Linked DNA regions of Diceros bicornis minor. The protein of the gene in region 3 interacts with the protein of the main gene of each other region in a biochemical or structural test. Links are inferred from orthologs where the notes say so. Each region holds a gene or a part of one and is shown on either strand. Other genes may lie near its edges.

Region 1 (7,010 bases), on a different chromosome or scaffold from region 3:
GGCCTTTCATCAAAAAGACCGTTCGAGGGGCCGGCCTGGTGGCGCAAGCGGTTAAGTGGGCGCGCTCGGCTGCGGCGGCCCGGGGTTCGCTGGTTCGGATCCCGGGCGCGCACCGACGCACTGCTTGGCAAGCCATGCTGTGGCGGCGTCCCATATAAAGTGGAGGAAGATGGGCACAGATGTTAGCCCAGGGCCGTCTTCCTCAGCAAAAAAAGAGGAGGATTGGCGGATGTTAGCACAGGGCTGATCTCCTCACAAAAAAAAAAAAAAAAAAAAAAAAAAAAAAAGACCATTCGAGATAGGCACTGTGTAAATTCAGAATCACATAAAAATAGGCCAAATTCTTAGTGTGATTTTTAAAATACAACTTTAGGAAGTTCGGTAATTATTTTTTTCTAAATTATCTTTTTGCATATGTTTCTAACTTTCTCCATGACGAATATAAAATTTAGCAGTAGAAAATCTCTCACCCCAATCATCACATAGCCTAAATAGTTGGGTCTCGAAAATAAGGTAATTTGCTCCTTACAATCTGATTTAATGTCCTGAAATCCTTTGGTTTAAACTTGCTGATTCTTCTCGTGGCTCTTCTCCCAGTAAAACCAAGAGATACCACAGTCAGCTGTCCTCGTCAGCTCTAACTCGTGTCCACAATCACATCCCTTTTGACCATGCTTATAGAAACATCACGAGTAAACCAATTTATCCTTCACGATTACTTTCTAAATGTTCTCAGGGAAAATCTGGTAACTTGGAGGGTTACAAGTTGATGACTCTCATATGTTTGGGGGTTAGTCTCAGTTGTTTCATGATGGTTTTTGTGCTGTTTTTCTTGATCCAACTAAATATTATTCCCAGATGGGATCAGTGTTTGACCTTCTTGTTCTACTCTCCTAATCTTGGCCCTTCTAACATTTTCTTGCTGTAGTTTCTTTCTTTTGTTTGCCACTAATGGCCTTGGCTGGTTACATAATTCCTGAAACAAGTGTTGACCGATTTGGACACATTTGAACATGGCATGGAGCTCTTCTCATGGTTCATGAAAAGCTTACAGAGAAGTACACCTCATTTTAAGGTACCGTCTAATGAATAGGGATATTATGTCTCCCTTAAGATTTTTCTCAGGACAGGCCTTACTTAAGAATTTGGAGGATTGTGAGTGACATAGTTGGAGGCTGGACCGGGCCTTTGAAATCATGCAGCATGAATTTGAAAACACCTTTGCCACTCTGCTCAGCAGGATAGTTTTCTGTCTACTTATTATTTCCCTATGCTAATTACTTACTCCAATTTTCAGCAGTTTTTGAGGTCAATTCATTGAATTCTAGACTTTTTTTTTTTGCAAGGCAGACTGAAAGCAGGAGTAACTAGGAAACTTAATAAACATAATTAAACAAAATGCTTATAGTGATAGTAGAATTTACTTCAGCCAATTAAAATTATTAATAGAAAAAAATATGTCAATGTCAAATCTGAGCCTGCTGCCTCTGTTTCCACTTGAGTAATGAGGATTAGTTTACATTTCCTGACAAGAATAGATGGGAATTCACATTCCTTCCTAACCTTTGTCCTTCTAGGACATTGGGTTAGGATAGTATTAGATCACAACCAAAAATAAAGAAAGATTTTGACTAATTCATAATTAATTTTTAAGCCCCACAGAAGTGAAATAGGGAGGATTTTCTTTTCAAGCAGCGAAATTTTTCCTCCTTTGGGTGGTTAGAAAATGTTCCGATCATAAACTTGGAATCTTTGCTTCTAACATATCAATCACGTCAGAGACCAGTCTTTAAGAAGAATCAGAAATGCATGCTTTGTATTCTCAGCATCACCCTGAGAAATAATAGGAAAATGATTTTGTAAAAACTTTGATCTGAGACCTTGCATATGCTACCTGAATTAAATTAAAAAATTATTCAGAATTCCGTGCAAGCGCTGGTATGACTTTAGCTTATCTTGGCCTCATTGTTTTTGAATGTAAGAGGTACTTTGAAGGCAAATAGACAAGTGTTTAAGTCTGGTCTTTTATCGTTTTGGTAACACTATGATCACAAATCAGAAAGTTTGGAGATGCTCAGAAGTGTCAAGAGGTCTGATGATCAGAGGGCTTATCTGCACTGACATTTGGTCTTCTTTTATTTCTAAATATTCCTACCATTTCCGACTCCTCTGTCTTTTCCTCAGTAAAACTGCACCACATACTGGAAAGTAAAGATACAAACATTTATTTGTATAATGTCAAGGGAGAGTAGGAATTAGAAGATTGGCCGCAGACACAGTCAGAGTCTGGGAAATGAGAATGCTTTCCCCTTCCGCAGAAATGCTGACGTGGCAATGTGCACTTAGCAGGTAGATTTGCTGTAACTTCTAACCACCAAGCAGCATTGAGAATACTAAGATTCTTGATGTTCACTTGCTAGGTATTTCTCAGGAACGAAGTACATTACAATTGAGCTTAAAACCTGGGGAAATAGCTCATTTTCAAACAAATTTACAGTCGGAAAGTAAGGATCAGTTTGAAGTTAGCATAAGGTAATAAAAAAAAGTTTAGGTTAGAGGTCCTCCCGTACTTTATAAAGTGGTACAAGTATTTGATTTTTTCACTTATAAAACTAGCCTCTTAAATTATTTTGCAATATTAAAAGAAATTGTGTCTGCATTCAGCCTACACCCCTGGGAATCAATACAGGGCTTCCTTGAGGTGGCCAAGCCCAACTTCATGTCCTCTGTCCTTTGGTGGCTTCTGGTTAGCCTGCATATTTCACATACATGAAATATTCCACAATAAACTCCGCCATCTGTGCTGTAGGGTAGTTTGTATTGGTCACGTGTTCTGTCAAGTTGATAGAGGTGCAAAGCTAAATGTGTGACACTCTAAGAATATGCATATATTTGAATAATTTGACTCTTCAGTCCAACAATTTGCAAAGCTCTGAAAGATCACACATCCTGGTGACACTTCAGATAGCTCCGTTTATTGGGGGTGGGGGAGGCAGGGATAGTTCTAGCTGGATGTCCTGAGTTCATTGAAGTCTTGTCTCTGGCATTTAGCTGTGTGAACTTGGGCAAATTATTTCGTGGCACTGAGCCTCGGGTTCTTCCTTTATAAAATAAGAATAATAATTTCTGTCACTAGTCTTTAGAAACTCTAAAACAGCTAATGTAAGTGAACTAATTTTGTTAACTGTAAACCTTTAGGTAAACGGAACTGAGTATATAATAATATTATATATTCAGTCCAACTGCACATTCTTGACAACCACAAGAGGGTCCAGGAAAGGAAACTGTTTATAAATCTTTCCCTTTCTCCAAATTAATGTTGGAGTGTTTAGAGAAATTCTTACAGCAATGCGTCTTAGCAATTATTAGGTCAAACCCCTTTGAGATTACAGAAAAATGTACATACACGTAAAACTGCCTACCAAATTTTGGGAGGATGGGAGATTCCTCTGACCCCCGTTTATGCATCCCTAAGAAAGAGTGTTTCTCAAAGTGTGACTTCAGATTTTCGGCATCCGAATTGCTTCAGGTGCTTCTTAAAATGCTAATTGCTGGACCCGGCCCCACCCCTGCTAAATCACAATTTCAGGAGGAGAAATCTGCATCTTAACAGGCACCCTGGTGATTTTTAGGCTCGGAGGAGGTCCAAGGACTCCAAGTTAAGTACTGTTGTCTTGTTCCTTATTCTAAATTTTTAGGTCTGTCCTAGTGCGTACGAATCGGTTGAACTAATGGGAAGAAAATTCAGCTCTAAAGCAGGAACCTAAGTAGACGGTTGACAGCGTTCGTCCAATGGTAAATTGAAAATGGTCCTCTGGGCCCTAGCCACTTAAGTTCTCGCCAAGGGTCTTGACTGCCGGCAAATAAGAACCCGAAAGACTGCTAGCTTTCCTGCTTGGGGGCGGGGGTGGGGGCGGGAGGAGGATTAACTGAGCCAACTCCACACACACACGCGCGCGCGCGCGCACACACACGTTAAACCAGGAGGTTTTTAAATTTATCTTTGCTATCCAGGTTCATTATTAAAAAGGTCGGTTTATGTGTGTAAGTTTCCTAGGGAGGGAAGCGAAAACATCTGCAAACCCATGCAGTGGCCCGGAACAGAACTCTTCTAATAAAAGATGTATCATTTTAAATGCGCTGAATTTTGATTCTGGTAATTCGTGCACTGGAGTGTCTATTTCGAGGCAGCGGAGGTATCATATGACAGCGCACGTCAAGGCACCGTGGAGCCCTCTCGTGGACTCCCACCCACTTTCCCATTCAGCGCGGAGAGGGCGGCTCGGCGGCCGCTCCCGGCGCGCGAGCATGAGCCCTCCCCGCCGCTGCCCAGATCAAATGGAGCTCCTCGCTCGGGGGGTGCGCGTGTCCCCTCCGCCATGCAATTTCCACTATCAATAATTTAACTTCTTTGCTGCAGAACAGAAGGAGTACCTACCGGGCACCAAAGACTCGCCCCCCCCCCCCTCTTTTTAACCAAAGGGAACGTGAAAAAATAATAGAGTCTGGGAGTTTCGGGGCCGGAGTCTTCCCCAGAGCAGCTGCCTTGATGTTTACTTTGACAAGTAGTGACTGAAAAGGTGGGTTTCTTTTCTTTCTTTCTCTTCCCATTTTCTCTCTTGGGTCTGCTGGGAAGCGTGTGGCTTTAGGGAGGTCTGTCATTGCTTCGGTTTTCCGGCTGGAGCAAGTAACTTGGTGTAACGTTATCTGGGGGCGTTCATTAATAAAAAATGCCGTTATTATCTTGATTGAATTCCTATTAGGCAACTCAGGAGAGGTCAGTGCACGAACTCGGGTTAAGCCGGCGTGTTTAAGACGGCGGAGTAAACCAATAGCCCCCATGCTCTGTGCCATTTCATTGTGTGCTCGCGTCTGCAAGCTCCGTGGTGCGGGAAGGTGCGGGAAGGTGTGTCTGTGGCCCGGGAAACGCATGCCCTCTCCCACACAACTTGGGTGCCGGGATGGGGCGAGGGCGTGCAAGGGAGGGGAGCTGAACCCCGGGCGCCGGACTCGCGCTCGCTCCCTCCGGCGCCAGCGCGCGGGGCCGGGGTTTCCGCGGAGGGCGCGGGACGCGGGGTTCCCCGGGGCGGGGCTGGCGCACCCCTCGAGGCGGCGGGCGCGGGGCTTGCGGAGGTACGTCGCGGGGCCCTGGGGACCGGCGGCGTGGGGCGCGCGGGGCGCGCGGGCCCGGCGAGCCCCAGGAGTCCCGGGGGCTGAGCCCGAGGAGGAAAAGGCGCGGCGTTCCCTTTAAGCGGCCGCCCCGCATGGCTGTCGGTGGCGCGGGCGAGCCGGGGGCGGGGGCCGGGGGCGGGGGGCGGCGCCGTCTGACCAATCCAGGCGCAACCGAAGAGCTAAATAATGTCTGACCCGGGCCGAGGCGCAGGCTGGAGCTCCGGTGCCCGCCGCCGCCGCGCCCGGGCACAGCCGGCCACTCGCCGTCCCGCGCTCCCCGACGCGCCGCGGGCTCCCGGGCGGGGCCGAGGAGCCGGCCCGCGCGCCCCCTCCGCCTCGTGAGGCTTTGATGAGACACCCGAGCTGCAGCCGCCACCGCTGCTGGGGAGCCGGCGGCGAGCGGCTCCGCGACGGGGCCCGGGGCTGCGCGCAGGGGCCGCGGGCGGGACAACGATGTGACTCCGCCGCCGGGGACCCGTGAGCTTTGTGTGGACCCCGAGGTAGGCGAGCCGCGGGCGTGGGGCTGGGCGCGGGAGCCGCCCGTCCTCGGGGAAAGTTGGCTGCGGGGCCCCGAAGTTGGGGGAAGAGACAGAACTCCTTCCTTCCTCTCCTCCAGGAGAAGGGGCATTTGGAGTCGTTCCCGGGGGGCTTTCTCCTCCCACCCCACGGGCCTGTGGGGCAGCCAGAACCCCGAGGAGAGGGATCCGACAGGGCCTGGAGTAGGGGGGGAGTAAGCCAAGAGGAGACGCGGAGCGGCGCGAAGGGAGCGAAGACGGCGCTACGGGGGCCCCCGCAACCCTCCCCCAGGCGAGGAGGGGTCGTGAGAGAGATTTAGGGCGCCAGCCGTCGGGGGCCCTGACTCAGGTGAGGGTGTCGAGGCTGGGATGTGAATTCTTCCCCTGGGCTGGGCGATCCCCGCGCAAATTTTGGGGGGGGCCCTTGCGTCCTCAGCCCGCATCCCCGTCCCCAGGATTCAAGCCGTGCTGCTCACGGTCACCTGCTCCCCAGAAGCTGAGACCAAAGCCGACTGATACAGGTCCCGCGCCAATGTATCCCGGAAAACTTGGGACCCTCTTGGCGCTCGGAGCGGAGAGGGGCTACGGTACTCCGCGGCTGGCTGTGCCCGCGCCTGTCTCCATCCCGCACCCCTCCCTTGGGGCAGCTTCTGGGGCAGTGAGAGTTTTGACTTTCGGGGCCTGGGGGGGGTGTGTGTGTGGGGTGTCCTGACCCGGGTTGGTCTCTGGGGATGCAGAGCTGGAAGAAGGAATGGGTGAGTGAGCTGTGCCAGGAATAGCTGAGGATTGGGGGCTTGATGCCCGACGGGCAGAGAAGGGCAATTGCAGACTGGGGGCACCCCCAGGGGGGAAAGCCTCGGGGCTGCTGGGGTGAACTGGACTCGCGGTCGGAGGATGCTGTGTTTGTGTGTTGGGGTGGACCGGGCTGGGGGGTGGACCGAGGAGAGGGGGCGGGGAGAGCGGCGCTAGGAAGGTAGAGGGTGCCCTCTGGCGGCCGCGCGGCCCAGAGCAGCTGCTGGGGGCGGGGACGCGGTGGGGATGGCTTCGCGGGATCCCTCCGGGAGCTGGTGGGAGGGACTTGTTGAACGCCGCTTGTGACTCCCGACTTGGGTGAATTTTGACTCCTCGCGCTGGGGGAGCTGTGACAGGCTGCGGTGGGTGGCGTGTTAGGGCTTCCTGGGTCTTATTTTAGGGTCCTGCAGGTATCTTACATCGGCTCCTCGATGTCAGCAGGAACCAGTGAAGATTTTCCGACGAGAATGCAGGAATGTTCTTGGCCAGAAGCAAAGAAAAGCATATTTCTGAATGTTTATTAATTCTCCT
Region 2 (7,802 bases), on a different chromosome or scaffold from region 3:
TTTTCTTTTATTCTGTAAGATGCAGGCAAAAACTGCCCCCTACCTATCTTTTGGAGCTGCTGCAAGATTTATTAAACTAGGGGAAAAAAACCCAAAAACTGTTTAGAGGTCTAAAACTGTTGATGAGATCCAAATTACATAAATACAACACAGTGTTGTTATCTCCAACAGGTATATGAGGTTGAATTAACTTTTACAACATCCTTACGAGTCAGGTAGATAATCTTAGACCTATTTTTACAGATAAGAGGGCTTAAGCCCTTCTGTTAAAGCCACTTAGATTGGGCGTATGAGAAGAGACACAATTACTGGATTCATACCTAGGCCAGTATTTGCTGATATCTGAAAGTATTTTAAAGGGCAGCTTTAAAAAAATCTCATCATCTTCTTGGCAGGCAATGAGAAGAGTCTGCATATTATTCTCCCCAGTTTTCTTTCTGTGGTGCTTCATGAAATTGATCTGAAAGGCAAGACACCTTGTCTCAATGGTATCCAAGGGGAGCCAAGTATTTTGAGAGCTATTAAAAGACATTGTTCTAATGATGAGACATATAATGTGATTTAGTGCAGCCGAAGCCAAGGTATCCATCAGATATGGAGAGAGCTAGGAAAAAAGGAAGAAGAAAATCAATGTGACAGCTACTGTATTTCATGCAGTGAGGTTATGTGAGTAATGAATACACCACTCTCTTTAACATTACCCCCCCGCCCTCACCAATACAAGCAAATATAAGTTGGAGAATACAGATATTCCCCTCAGCCCAGACAAACTTGCTCACTTGTCCAAAATTGCTTACTCAACATTACTAAAAATGATTCAAAGTGCTAATTAGAGTGCCTGGCACATAGTAAATTGTCAATGAATATTATCTGTTATTAGTTGGATTTGGAGTAGAAACAGTATTGCATAAAGTCAAGAACATATTAGAAATAAGATGCGTGGGTTAAAGCCTCGCCTCTTGCACTAAATTGCCGTGTGACTCTGGGTAGCTGTTTAACGTGGTCTGTAAAGAGAGGACAATGATAGTACTTAGTTGAGATAAATTTTGTAAAAAAATGAATGAGCTGGTACATGTTAAATCCTTAACACGGTTTCTGGCACATGTAACAACTGATTTACAAAGTGTTAACTACTAGAAGTTGTGCAGGTAATGCTGCTACACAAGTACTGTGCAGCCAGCCAATCGTTATTTATTGAGCACTTACATTGAGCCAGGCACTGAAGGAGGCAAAGGGAGACAGGTCTTATGCACATGGTTTTTGAGGAATATCAACAAAAAATATTCGGATAAAATAACTGAAGGCTATAATATATGCTAAGAAAAAACTAATATGGGGCTGGCACAGAAAATATGAAAGGAATTTCTTCTTAGGTAGGGAGTCAGGGAAAGTCTCTCTAAGGAAGTACATTTAAAGAGAAGGTCTCAAAGAAGATGAGTCAGCCATGTGAGGTGGGGATGGCCGTGGGCATCCCAGGCAGGTGGAACAGCATATGCTAAGGCTATGAGTTGGAAAAACAACTTGGCACATCGGAGGAAAGGATTGCTCAGAATGGCTGGAACATATGAGTGAGGAGGGAGCGTGCTGCCAAATGTGATTGAGGACGGGGCAGGACCCAGCTCATGCAGACCTGATTGGTCATGGTAAGGAGTGCAGATTTTCTTTGTTTGCAATGGTAAGTCAGTGAAGGATTTTGAACAGTGGCAAGGAATGATACTTTTTATACTTCTGGAAGACCACCTTTGCTGTTTTGTAGGGCAAGGCATCTGAACTTTTTTGATTATGCACACCAACCAGCATGTGGCTTCAAAATGTTCATATTTGCTCTCTCTCTTTTCTGTCTCTCTCTCTTATATGTATATAGAACAGATATATGTTTTTCAGTAATTAAATGTTAACGAGGCTATTATTTTCTTCCTGCACACAAATAAATCATCTTGTGGTACCATTTGGGTACTCGTACCCCACTTTGGTATGACTATTCTAGAGAAAGGATGGAGCAGAGCAATTGCAGAGTAGGGAGCACAGTCAGGAGGCTGCTGTGCTAGTCCAGGTGGGAAGTGATGGTAACTTAGACTAGGTGGTGGTAAATTTTTCATATACATAATGAAAAGACTCCTTATTGGATTACAGATCTAACTCTCTACCGGCCTTTGATATAAACTGTTTTCCTAATAAATGACCCATTATTAATGCATTATATTTATAAAACCTATTGGGTTTCTTAGCGGGTTGTTGGATTGAAAACACCTTGAAATAGACTAGCCCACTTTCCTCCATGATTAGCTTATTTCTTGAACTTTTCTGGAAAAGGAGGATGGTTTAGGGAATTACTGGTACTTTCCCTTTCTGCTTGTTGCCAAACTTCAATGGGGATCAGACCTACGAGAAATAAAATGAATTTATAAAAACAACAAGAATACTTGGAGCCAATTTCATTGTCATCTGTGTAAACTTTTTCTCAAATGAACAACAAAAATCAGGCATTAAAAAAGTGCCTGCCCTCTCTGAATTCTCAGCAAGTGGCCTGCAAATGCATTCAATTTAAAGGGATCTTTGTAACAGGTGTGTTTTAAAAGATGGGAGTTATAAACTCTTTGGGGAGGAAAAATCAGCTCTACTTGTACCAATTCTTCAGGAAGAACTTCATTTTGAAATCTAAACAATCTAAATTTTGGTAGGGCAATAATAGACTAAGACCAGAAAATTTGAATCCACTAATTTCTTCTTCTATTTTGCCTTTTCCAGTCCTATATTTGGATGGGAATGTATATGGGTTCTGACTTTTTCATCTGGTTTTCCTCTCTTGGAGGAATTCTCCCTTATCCAGACTGGAAAGGAGGTTAGCAGGGCATAGAAAGAAGGCATTAAGCAAATGATCCTACAAAGCTCTGAAAACCTTGCTGAGGAGAGGAGAACCAGTGCCCTGGGCTTTGACAAAGAGCATTTGTAATTCTGGGAGGAAGAAGGACCTCCGGCTCTCCTCTCCTCCATCTAGAAACCACAGTCTGCCAGATAGTGTTCCTTTCTCCAGAGGATTCAGGCTTGGGTAGTAAAGGTGCTTTTGAGAGAACAGACTGAGTCTCCTTTAATGACAAACAGGATGCTCTTTTGTCCTTTTAAATATTCAGTTTAATGGCTGAGAAGCCTGCTCTCCTTGCATTTGCACATTACTTGGATTGGTCATAAGAACAATAACTTAAATTAACGTTTTGTAACAGAACTCTGGGTTTAACTGTTTTAAGAGAAATTCCTCTTGGACAATATCAAAAGAGGTATCATTAATTGAAGAGTAATTATCACTCTGTTACTTTCAAGTTGGTTCCATCACAAACTCAGCATTCAGAGTTTTCAGTGAGGTTACCTTTGCAAGTGTCAAAATGAACAAAAATGTAATTAGAAACTGGAAATTGTACTATCACGTTGCGGCATTCATTTATTCAATCAGTAAATATTCATTGAATAATTTAATAGTTACCAGGTGATAAGGAAGTATTATTAGGCACGTGAAGACTACAAAGAAATCTGAAGGTATTTCAACCCTTAGAAGCAAACTTTCTATTTGAAAAAGGCTTGGATTTTGAGAAGTTCTTTGTAATTTTCAAAGCCCATTCACCTACTGTAAATCTTCATCTGAACTTTTGAACAGTAGCAGGGGAGCTGGGCTGGGCAGACATTATAATCATACAATTATAGAATTTTAGGATTGGAAGGGATTTTAAAGGTCAACTAAAACAACCACTTAATTTTAAATTGTAGGAAGCTTAGAGATTGCTGCTTGTCTGAGGTCCCACAGCAAACTAGTAGCAGAGCACCCAGCATAGACTTGGGATTTGCTAATAAGAACCTTAAGGCATGCGTTAGTAGCTCTGGGCTAGGCACAACTGACAGAGTAAATACAGCAGGATGCCTCCTTTCCTGTATTTATTTGCATATATAGAGAGGATAGACTTACAATAAATATTTATAGAATTAACGACTGACAGATTTCCCACCGGGTAGGGCACTGTGTCAAGCTCTGAGGATAAAATGGCAAATCAAATAAGCTCTTCGCTTCTTCGAGGTTGCTCACAATTTGGTCTTCCTGTCCTCAATGAGTTTGTAGTCTCTTAGGGAAGCCAAGATATACGGCGAGAAGATGCGAGAAGATTGGGTTCAAATACAGTGGATGCTTTAGGAGGTCAGGAAAGGAGTCTAAGCTGATAACTGATGGAAAAAAAAACCCAAACTACACACACACACACACACACACGATCATTTAATTACATCATTCTTTGCTGTTGCCTTTCCGGGATCTCCCCCAGGCCCGACACTCAGGCTCTGCTCAAGGTAAGGTCGAGACGGCAACTCACCGAGACTAAGAAGGGAAAGAGCAGGAGCTCATCCATCCCTACCTTCTAACCTAAACTGGAAAAGACCAAGGGAAAAGGAAACAGCAACAGAGACTGATAGAAACAATAAAACAGGAATAGGAATTCCCCAACACAGTGACCACTCAGCGAGCTCCGGGCTGACCGCCCCCACCGGAGGGGCGCGCGGGCTCACCGCGGAGACCCGCGGCCCCGCGGGCGCAGAGCGGGCGGCTGCGAGGAGCGGGCGGCCACAGCGGCGGCGAGCCCAAGGGGAGGGTCGGCAGCGCCCCGGGTCCCCGCAGCCACCCGCGCGCAGCGCAGCTCGGGAGCGGGACGCGGCGCCGGGAGCCCCGGCAGCGCCCGCCCTCCTTCCCGCGTCGCCTGCCAGCGCGCCAGCGCCCGCTCCGCCCGTGACTTCAGTTCAGCTCCACCCCCGCGTGGCGGCGGCTCGCTCGGTCCGAACCCGCGCTCGGCACCAGCCCAGCCTGGACAAGCGGCAGCCACCTGCCCCGCGCCGCCTCCGTCCGCCCCCGCCGCGGCCCAACTTGGATGGAGTTGGGGTCCTGAGCGCCTGTCCCCCACAGCCGGCCAGCGGAGAGCACCGCGCCTCCACCTCCGGTCCGGAACCTTCTCTCCACTCCTCTCTGCTCCTGCGATGGGAAAAGTTGGCGCGGCCGGCGGCTCCCCAGCCCGGCTGAGCGCGCTTCTCGCCGGCGCAGGGCTCTTGGTCCTCTGCGCCCCGGGCGCCTTCGGCGGCGGCTCTTGCTGTCCCCCGCTGCACCCCAGCTCGGCCCAGCGCTGGGCTCCGACCCCAGGGGGCTTTCCTCACCAGGGACCGCGAGGCAGGGCTCCTGCCACGCCCCTGCCCCTCCTTGGGCGCCCCCTGTTCGCAGTGGCCCCGGGAGACCGAGCGCTGTTCCTGGAGCGGGCCCCCGGCACCGGGGCGTCGGTGGCGGTTGCTCCCCGCTCTGGCCGGAGGAGACGGAGTGCAGCGGATCAGCAGAAGGCAGAACGGGGAGAAGGCACGAGTAGAAACCCCCGGGGAGTGCTAAGGGACGGAGGGCAGCAGGAGCCTGGGACTCTGGAGCGGGACCCGGACAAAGCCACTCGCTTCCGGATGGAGGAGCTGAGACTGACCAGCACCACGTTCGCGCTGACAGGCGACTCAGCACACAACCAAGCCATGGTCCACTGGTCTGGCCACAACAGCAGCGTGAGTAGAATGGGACTGAGGGCAAAGGGGTGAGAGATGGAAAGGGTTAAAGTGGGCTCTGTGATCTGATAGAGAATTTGGGGAAATGGGGTTTCTGGACTTGAAAGACGCTGCAAACTAAGGTCTTCCCTGCTCACCTCCCTCAGGAGTTAATGTTACCTATTAGATGACCAAACACCCCCAGCCCCCAACACAACCAGAGTCCTCTCCAAACCCGAATAACGCTTCTAAAGGGTCAGGTAAATCCCTATTTCCTGTTTCTTTGGTCACATTGGTGTAGTATGGATCTGAAGACCAGGCAAGCAGGGGTAGGGGGGTAGGGGTGGGGGTCAAAGTATTCTGAATGCGGAGGTGAAAGGGTTAAATTTCCAGGCTGGCTGACATTCCCTCAAGTGACTTTCCCTTTACTTGCTAGACTTGTGGATGAGCTCAGGTAAGATCAAGAAGGCTTTGTTTGTAGGCTTTTAATTTTATTTTTTATGCAGAGCTGCCAACCTCCTCTTACCCACAAGGGAAGAGAAATGCAATGGACAGTGGCTGATAAGGTGCCCTTGATGTATTCTCTGTTTCTGGGGACCAAGTGGATGCAAGTTTCAGGACGGGAACTCTCCAGCATCTTCTAACAGCACAAGCCAGTGTGTTTTGAGAGCTGGGGCTTTCCAGCCTGTGAATGAGTGGTTGTTCTCTGGCGTGATCAGTCCCAGGAAGATCAGATATATCCCAGTGACAACAACTCCCTGTTCTCCCCCACTGCCTGACCTCCTCTAGTGAAGAGCACAAATAAAGGCTTAGCTTTTTCTTTATGAGGGGAAGAGAGGGATTGCCGGATTCCAGGAGGCTGACACTGGGGAGAGTGGGTGCAAATCCATGAGCTTTGGCCACATCAGGGAAGGTTTTAGATTTTTGGCAAAGCCTGCATGTCTGGAATCTTAGGTAGCTATTCTAGTTTAAACTGCACCTGGAAATTTCAATGAACGGAAATAGTAAAGAACCAGCTTTGATGATAACTGAAGACTATTTAAAACTGTGGAAACTTCTCCTGGCTGCCATTAGGCAGACAAGAAAAACATAAAAACTAAGGATAGGTACAATGAAAAAAAAATCAAAGTTTCAGCTTCTGTCAGGTTATTGAGATTGTAGTATTTGTAATATGCACAGTCTATACATCCTGGTACCTTTCAGATGTTTTCAGTTGTGATGTAATTGCCAGAAACCTTCCTAGACACAGAGGAAGTGCCACTTTAGTGAGTTGTGCTGGTTGTCAGCTTTTTAATGAAAGTCATGAACATTTTAAAATAATAGTCTGTCATTATGAATTTCTCAGGTACATAGATATCAACTATATTAAGGCAATCGTGATAAATAGTATTTTGTATTATGTCTCCGTCCTGAGAGCACCAGCAGGATTTTGCCTACAATTCAGCCTTCATGACTGAGGCTGTGGTTTTATATGGTTCTCAGGAGAGGTTTAATCAAGTAATTGAAGCCGAAATTCTTTCCGTTCAAATTCTGGAGATCCTTGTCCTCATGCCTTAACTTAACTATCCTATCTTTTATATCATAACCACTAAAATTAATCCCCCAATTTGAATTTGAATCTTCTTAAACTGATTGAGTAACTTTTGCACTGCTTTAAGTGATTTAACTCGAAGCTTCTGGCTTTAAGGGGAGATTGCAAACACATCAAACATATTAGATCTTATTGTATCAAGAAATAAAGGATTTTGGCCTCAAAATATTTCTGGCTTTTAATGTAATTCAAGCTGTAAAATATCACTCACCCATTAGACCTCTACTTTAGTTCATCTCTTGAAAGAGCTTGGAAAGAGTGAGAACAGGAGAGTATGTTTTTGGCAAATTTTAAACTTCATTTAAGATATGGTGCCAAGCACTGCCAGCCTTTTTTTTTTTTTTTTTGAATGGTGCTTATAAACCCAGTTGGGCTTACTAAGGTCAGAGCTTGCATGGGCGACTTGCAGGGAAATCTGAGATAATGTAGGAAATAATCAAGGTGGTGCATGTTAAAAGTTTGAGCACTCAAATCATGTCACTAATAAGATTTCTCCCCCCTGAAGTCTCTTCTTCTGTGAGGACAGCCGCCCCACCCCCCATCCTGCTGCCTACACATAAATTGTTTTTTTAGTGTATACGTACAGATGGTAGAGGGAGAGCAATAGTCTTTATCTAGGTCCTCCAAAACAAAGCTGGCCCAGATTCATAGGAGAGACAAAGTTTAA
Region 3 (7,941 bases):
ACAAAACAAACCTTTTTATTGTTAAGTTGCAGTATGGACAATTTTAGAGGAAAAACTACCTAATAGTTAATGATTATTTGATGTTTTTATAATAATCTAGGCACTGTTCTATGCACCTTACATATATTAACACATTTAATCCTCACGATTAATCTATGACTTAGGTGCTATTATTATTCCCATTTTATTGATGGAAATTGAGGGACAGAGTGGCCAAGTAACCCGAGATCACACACACAAGCTCAACTTGCAAGTGTGTAAATATGCTTTTAGTATATTTCTAAAGGAATCTTTAACAGAAGAAAGTACTGACCCCATGTGATTTGCTGCTACTTTTGTGATCCTTGTTGAAGTAACTTTAAGAAGTGAGAGTGACACCAGGCATTTGGTTAACTATTATGTGGTGGGTTAACCTCAAAATAGAAAATTTAGTCAATAAGAATTTTTATTTTAGAGTCAGAGAGCTATTTTAGGAAGCTGCTGCTAGAAAGGATATCCCTGGGACAGCAGATCCCTTAGTTCCTAATGAACAGCTGCATCACCAACACAACCTCTGACCACGCTAGGGCTCTCAGCAGGGTGATCCAGTCCAGCTTATTAACCCTTCTCTGTTTTCTTTCCAGCTAGCCACAGTGCAACCTGGCCAGAATTTCCACATGTTCACAAAGGAAGAACTTGAAGAGGTTATCAAGGACATTTAAGGAAGTGTGATACTCAGAACTTCTCTGGGACAATTTCATTTCTCCTAATTGCCCTTAACTTTTATTTCCAGCTCCTGTTCCTTGGAAATTCTCCAGTGTATGTGCATTTTTTTATGATGTCTGTACATAAAGGCAGTTCTGAAATAAAGAAAAATTTAAAATATTTGTTAATAGACTATCCTAATGCAGTCTTTTGTTCGAAATGCTTTTGTTAGGGGGCAAAAAGGATAGTGGTATTAATATCCCTAGCCTGTCAGAGTTTCTATTCTAAAATTGTTTTAGTGGCTCTCTACAGCAGAATCAACTATATCATGAATCCCTTGGTGTTGGCAAATGAACTCAAGCTAGCCCAGCTCCTCCCAGTGGTTTATAGGTATTAATAACATTGTAAATCTATTTCAGTCCTGTAGTTTCTCTTGAGTAAATAGGTATTTTTGCTGCTTTCCTTGTACAAAGGAGATGCTACTAATTGACCATTAAAAGAACATATTTTGAGGTCCTCCCCAAAACACTGGTGGGTTGGAGTAAGCCAGCTACAATGTTGTACCAGTTCTTGTGTCTTATGAGTCTATTTGGAAAGAGATTTTCTTTTTTTATGAAGTTAAGGACTGTAAAATAATTCATGAGCTTGGTCTTGCTGACGATCAATTACAAATCAGAAAGAGAGAATGGTGTAATTCAGAAATGGTTTACATTAGACTTTGGAATGTACTATAAACTTCCCTCATTAGAGCTACCATCATATAACTGGTTGAGATTATCAATCTATTGGAGCCTCAAAAATGGCCATATGAAATAGATACCATTATCATACTTAACAGATGAAGAATCTAAGGCTGTGTGACCGTGGACACAGAAAATTAAGCTGTTGGGACTTGAACTCAAATTTTCTAGTTTCAAATCAACTCTTGATTTTACAATGCAAGGTCCCTTGAAGCCTAGATACCTACTGAGTAACAGAGACATGTTATTGAGAATGTATTTGCACTATCTACAACATGGCTAATCCATATGTGGATAATGCAGAATTGATGGTATATATATTTTTTTTTAATAAATTTTTATTTATTTTCCCCCAAAGCCCCAGTAGATAGTTGTATGTCATAGCTGCACATCCTTCTAGTTGCTGTATGTGGGACGCGGCCTCAGCATGGCCGGAGAAGTGGTGCGTCGGTGCGCGCCCGGGATCTGAACCCGGGCCGCCAGCAGCGGAGCGTGTGCACTTAACCGCTAAGCCATGGGGCCGGCCCATGATGGTATATTATTAACACTTGTGGGAAGTTGTACTCTATGTCAATAAATTCTGATTATTTGAGTACACTGAATTCATATTAAATTCATACTGTATTTCCAGCGAAAAACAACTTGTGCTTATATATATTTGGAAACTGCAATGACAGGAAACGTTTGGAAGAAAAGAATTTTGCTCTAGACATACACATAAAAGTAGGGAACTAGAGTATATTGTCACCAACGTTCTGGAGACTCTTCTAATGATTTTAACCCTGTTATTAAATATAATGTGATCATGGGATTAGTTTCTCTCATGTTCACCTTTTATCAAATCCTATCTCAACTTCCATTTATTCAAATTTAACAAATTTATTGAGTACCTACCTATCATATGCCAAATAATGGATTAGGCATTGGGGATAGAGCTGTAAAAATACTAGGTATGGTCTGCTCCCATGGAACTTCTAGTGGGGAGAACTAGACAATAAACAATATTCCCTTTAACTCAGTGTAGATTAATGCAGAAATGGACAAAACATGCTGCTTTTGGCAGAGATGAGAGTGTGTCTTATGTGTATTATATAGGGGGAAAAATACTCGTGTGTTATGTAGGCGGGAAAAAAAAGGAATAGTTCTTAGTGTAACTAGCTTAGCTTCAGCTTACAGTATTTTCCCTCCCATTGCCTGGGCAGTGTGTTTGTACCTTAGATTACAGCTGGTGAAACAGTAAATTTCATACCCACTATAATTCTAATTTTAGAATTCTTGAAAGAACAGAATTATAGCATTCTTGCAAGAGATAGAACTTTGGTTTTCTGTAGAATTTGAAGACTTTCTACAAGGTTTCTTGTGTCCAATTTAAATAGAATCAGGAATGATCTTACAAGGAAAAGCAATGGTTTTGTGATATGCAACTGCTTTCTACTCATCTTTCTGGTATAGAATTTATCTTGGAGAAAAGTGTGGTTTTTAGTAATACAAATTTACGTATTTTAGTCCTGCCAGTAAGGTAGGATGTTGTGTGTCAGTATGTGCACTGACAGTGCAACTTTTGTATTTAGTGCCTGTGTTATTAGATGAAAGTGAACTACTAAAACACTTTATTCACTCAAAACATTTTCTCTGTGCAAAGTACCATGGTACCAAATACTTAGCAGCTGATATAGTTTGAGGAAGGAAATATATATTCTGTAAGCATATAATGATAACTAAAAGCAATGTATACAAAGTAAAGGTACAGATAATTGCAACAATTTAATATTGAGTTAAAAGGTGTTGTTAGGAATTTCTCCATGAGATGGCACTGGTGAGTTGGCAATTTTCTTTTCAGACCTTAAGACAATAGACCATTCATCTTTGTGTCACCCGAACAAAGAAATATTCCTGTATAGCCCCTTTTTTCCCCCCAGCTAATCACATGTTACTGGAACTGACTGTCTTGTGATCTACCCCACAGCTGGCATAGATTAAAAAATAATTTGTATTTTAAAAAGTAATCTGACACATGGTAGTTAATGGAAAGGAACAAATTGTCCACCACTTTTCATCTAGCTTTATCTTGTCATTTCAGTAGCTAAGAACTTGGAAGACTATTCTAATGATTTTACCATCCTGCTCAGATGCCATTCAAACATATTTTTCACTTCTCACGTCTTACTATGGTTATTCTGGAAAAACAAATTTGTAAATCTTTTTGTTTGCAAATTAACATAACTAGAAGGATTTTAATGTAAACATTAGGTTGGGTGCACTGCACCATTTTGCTGTACAATGAATATATTCTCATTTAGGTTTACCTCCAGTTTAGAGTTGAGTAATTTTTAGCTGCTTTCCTTATTTAGATGTAACGTTTTGTATTCTTTGTGTCTTCTATTTGCTACCTTTTCTACTGAACAACTTCTGTCGTTCTGAAGGCATAGAATCAATAAGGTTAAGATCCAGAACTGGTTTTACCTGTGCTGCATGTTCTAGAAGTTATGTGGGCAGCTTCTGCGATAAAGGGAACAGCACAGCGTAGGGGTTTTGTTTTATTTATTGGAGCCGTAGTGCTAATTTAGGGGACACCATATACTGGAAACCAAAATGTGCAGTGCACTCACTGCAGGGTTTCGGTACTTTGGTAAAGATAAATATGCATCCATAAAACGATCGTGTCTAAACTAGGCATTGGGCAATTCTCTTGCCCCCTTTTACCTGACTCTCCTATTTAAGCTACTTTCTAACTCCAGGAAAACCAATAAGCAATTCCAACTTTGGCCTGACTCCCTGCAGAAGGAGAAGATGAGTGAGGCCGTCCGTGGTGGAGAGACTTTTCTTCAAGCTTGCATGAGTCACGGACGTCCTGATGTCTATCTGCCTCCGTAGGATTTAGCCCACACAATTCGCATTCACCTTTTTGGCAGCAAGACAGCTGCTTCAGTAGACAATGGGCGCTCCAGTGCGCGGGGGCTAAAAACCTGAAGCTCCGGTTCATGACGAAGCCCCCTTTTCCAGCTGAGCAAGCTCAGGGATTCCCTGAGATTTCCAGGCGCTGCCGCAACCCCCAAAATTTTAGAGGTGTCTCTGTGGGGAGAGAAGGGGACTAATCCAGCCCCAACTTGAGGATGCCAGAGGGAGCAACGAGGGGTCAGGGCGCCACGGAGCGGGGGTCTTCACTGGAAGAGGGAGAAAGCTCCAACACTAACTCTGGAAGCCCGGCCGTGGAGACGCCAGGCGAGGAGGGGATGACCTCAGCCGTCTCTGCCACGTTCCAGCCAATCAGTCCCGCATCTTGGCATCCGAATCCAGGACCCCCGAAGCCGGAGGCGACGCGAGCCAATGAGGAGTGGACCAGGGAAGAAGGACAGGCGGCCAGCCTATGGAGGCGGAGAGGCCCGGCTGCGCGTATCCAAGGAGCACCCGGCTCGGGCTCGGGGGTGTGGCGCGGCGCCGGCGGGGGTGGGCGGGCGCGCTGGGCGGCAGGTGTCGGCGGCATCGGCATTCGGCGGCGATGGAGCGGCCCCGGGGAGCTGCGGACGGCCTCTCGCGCTGGCCCCACGGCCTCGGCCTTCTCTTCCTCCTCCAGCTGCTGCCGCCGGCGACCCTCGGCCAGGACCGGCTGGACGCGCCGCCACCGCCAGCTGCGCCGCTGTCGCGCTGGTCCGGCCCCGTCGGGGTGAGCTGGGGGCTGCGCGCGGCCGCGCCCGGGGGCCCGTTTCCCCGCGGCGGCCGTTGGCGCCGCAGCGCGCTCGACGAGGACGAGGACTGCGGCCGCGTCCGGGACTTCGTCACCAGGCTGGCCAACAACACGCACCAGGTGAGCGGGCGCCGGGCCCGGGCGCCGCCCGGACTGCGAGGTGCGGCCCCCGGGCCCCGCGCGCGCTGCTGGTCCCTCTGTCTCTGTCCGCGCGCCTCGCGGCTCCGCGGAGGAGCCCCCGGCCCCGCTGGGGCCCCGAAACTGCGGCGGGCGGGCGGAGTCGGGCCCGGGGAGCGGCCCCCAGGCCGCCGCGGCCCGAGCGGCTGTGTTTCGTCACAGGGGAGGCAGTCTTAGACTTTCATGGCATTCGTTTTTGTAAGTTGTCAAAATCTCTTGAGCGTCGTTGTTTTCTGTGTGTATAAATAGTCAGGGTCCAGTAACGCTCTAAGCCACCACGAAGCTATAGGAATAATTATCTCAAGTGCTTGGAGAAGTTGGGCTGCGCAGAAGCAAAGGTGTGTCCTCTCTGGGTCAGTACTTCCAGGACGGGTAGGCGGGTGCTCAGAAATCCCAAAGCAGTTGTTAGGTTACTGCGTGTATTTTAATAGTTAAAGGAACAAGCTTGGAAAAGGGGTGACAGTATATACGTGATCTCTCTTTCGCCTTCAGTTTGACCTTCTATCCTGGCATCGGACTCTGACCAGGATGTTTATATCCTGTTGTGACCAGGTTTCTAACAGTTAGGTAACACATTGCAGGTATTCTGCTCTGAGCTAGGTCCTAGTCGAAAACTTTAAAAATTGTGGCAGTTCTTTCCCTGCCTACAAGCGGTTCAACCTTCGCACACTAGTGGATTGACAAAGCCAGTTGTTAGGAGTGTCCTGGCTCCTTGCTCCAGTGCAACTTGGGCATCTTCCTTCCTCACGTTTTTCTAAAACGAATGATGTAATTGTTGCTACCCACGTTTGCGTAATATATTTTCAATTTAATATATCTTCTCCGTTATATCCATTCCTTTTTTCAAAGAGAGTTGTACATGGGGACAGAGATAAGTGACTAACTGCATTTGTCCTCATACATTCCATATCAGCCAAACTTCAGTCTCCCCTTGAACTGTCTTTTTCCCTCTGCCTGGACTATCCTTGTTATTTGTGCAGAGTTCTCAGATCTGGGGAGCCAGGGCAGTTGGAGTCAAGGCACAAGCAGTCAGGGATAACCTCACTTAATGCAGTCCAAGCAGCAGCCACATAAAGGTGGCCAAGCTAGTGCTGACGGGTGGGACAGGCTGGGTGCAGATAGGGTGGAATGAGTACTGGGAAGTCTTCCTGTTTGACGACGAGAAAAATAATCGTGTAGACTTCCATCTCGCAGTGGGGAGTTGAGAAAGGCTTTACAACACTGATGCTTAATTTATAACAGGACCACTGCCTTCCTTGAGCCAGCTGGACACAGCATTCTTACTCCATATTTCAGAATCTCCTCTTGCTGGTTGACCTACCTTTAGGACCTGTGGCTACTTCTGGATTTATTCCTTTAGTCAGAGTCTTCCCGGGTTAGTTTGAATTGATATATCATTTGTAATATATTGATTTCTAAAGCAAGAGGGTGAAAAAGCTGACTCAGGGGGCCCTTAGGCCAAATCTACTCAAAAGCAGATCTGAAACCACTCCTTTGAAAACCACTCCTTTGAAATCTGTATGTAAAGAAAGTTCCCTCTATTTTTTTCATTTTATTTAGCTACTGTTTCCAATGAGTTTTTTAGCTTATTTCTTTTTCAGTCTTCTTTCAGTGACCTAATTTTGAATAGCCATTTTTGCGTTTGTTAATCATCCCTGGTCCCTTCTTCCGAGATCCCATCCTTTTTGTAACATGTACATATGGTAAAAGTGGAGCCGTTGTCAACAATCTTCACCTTAGGAATGGGTGAGTAACGCGGTTGAGGTCTACCTCCTTAACCAAGAATTGTCATGTGATAGTCTGTTCTGCTTTTCAGTTCTCTAGTTTTAGAAGTCACGGTAAATCATCCTGAACTGTATTGAAGAGATCTAGTATTTTTGGACCCTTTATAAACAGTATGAAATAAAAGTATCACCATGACAGAACAACTTTTTATCAGAGATATTGTATACTTTTGTACAGCTGGGGAAGTGCCATTTAGAATAGTTTTTCGTAAGATGACAGGATTCAGTTCCCGAGAAAAATCAACAGTTCTTGGTTCTCCTCTTATTTGTTATATAACTTGCTGTTCATGTCAAACCCCATTAATTCATATAGCCAATGTATGTGAATACCCTCCAAATGTCCAGATCTGTGCTAGATGCTGGGGGTACTGAGATACAAAGAAAAGCAGATGAACAGCCTCAGAAGCCTTTAGCAAATCTCCTAGACCTATTTCTATGGCTTATTTGGCTGGTGAGAATATATTGGCATTTAATTAATCTTAAGAAAGGAAGTAGAGTGAAAACATGATAGTGCTTTTATATTCTTCCAGCTTCGGGAGACCTGTGCCCTAATGACCTATAATAACTAAGGCTGCTTCACTCATGAAATCCAACGTGTGTGTGTGTGTATTTATAAATGTTCCTGTCTTAGACTCAATAAATAACCTTCCTTTTGCCTCTAACCCACAGCTATTTTCATGCTGTACTTTTAACTGATTCTTTCCTTTATGTGCTTGGAGTGTTCATGACATGTATAACCTTTGTACATGAGAGAAATTGAACAAGACTAGGAGATTTTATTAGTGTTGGTTGTTAAGTTGGATTGCTTCAAAACATTCCTCCTGTAAGTACCCCTTTGAGGTTAGGCATGAAACTCTGTCTTAAAGAAACA

Evidence for each region. The genes of interacting proteins can lie anywhere in the genome.
Region 1: the proteins of SORT1 (region 3) and BDNF form a complex in vitro, tested with the Homo sapiens proteins (2 studies listed by BioGRID and IntAct, with this or other methods). The link is inferred for Diceros bicornis minor from reciprocal best matches to the Homo sapiens genes SORT1 and BDNF.
Region 2: the proteins of SORT1 (region 3) and SORCS1 form a complex in vitro, tested with the Homo sapiens proteins (2 studies listed by BioGRID and IntAct, with this or other methods). The link is inferred for Diceros bicornis minor from reciprocal best matches to the Homo sapiens genes SORT1 and SORCS1.

Annotation. Positions count from the first base shown.
Region 1 is NC_080746.1:83,690,704-83,697,713, reverse strand, and holds the start of BDNF (brain-derived neurotrophic factor), read left to right. Parts: upstream 1-3,975; 5' UTR 3,976-4,580; intron 4,581-5,528; exon of another isoform or gene 5,529-5,672; intron 5,673-5,904; exon of another isoform or gene 5,905-6,036; intron 6,037-6,815; exon of another isoform or gene 6,816-7,010. UniProt on the Homo sapiens protein: Important signaling molecule that activates signaling cascades downstream of NTRK2. During development, promotes the survival and differentiation of selected neuronal populations of the peripheral and central nervous systems.
Region 2 is NC_080745.1:71,535,058-71,542,859, reverse strand, and holds the start of SORCS1 (VPS10 domain-containing receptor SorCS1), read left to right. Parts: upstream 1-4,767; 5' UTR 4,768-5,007; coding exon 5,008-5,565; intron 5,566-7,802.
Region 3 is NC_080743.1:42,464,496-42,472,436, reverse strand, and holds the start of SORT1 (sortilin), read left to right. Parts: upstream 1-4,890; 5' UTR 4,891-4,923; coding exon 4,924-5,229; intron 5,230-7,941. Other genes in the region: PSMA5 (proteasome subunit alpha type-5), read left to right, coding at 624-701.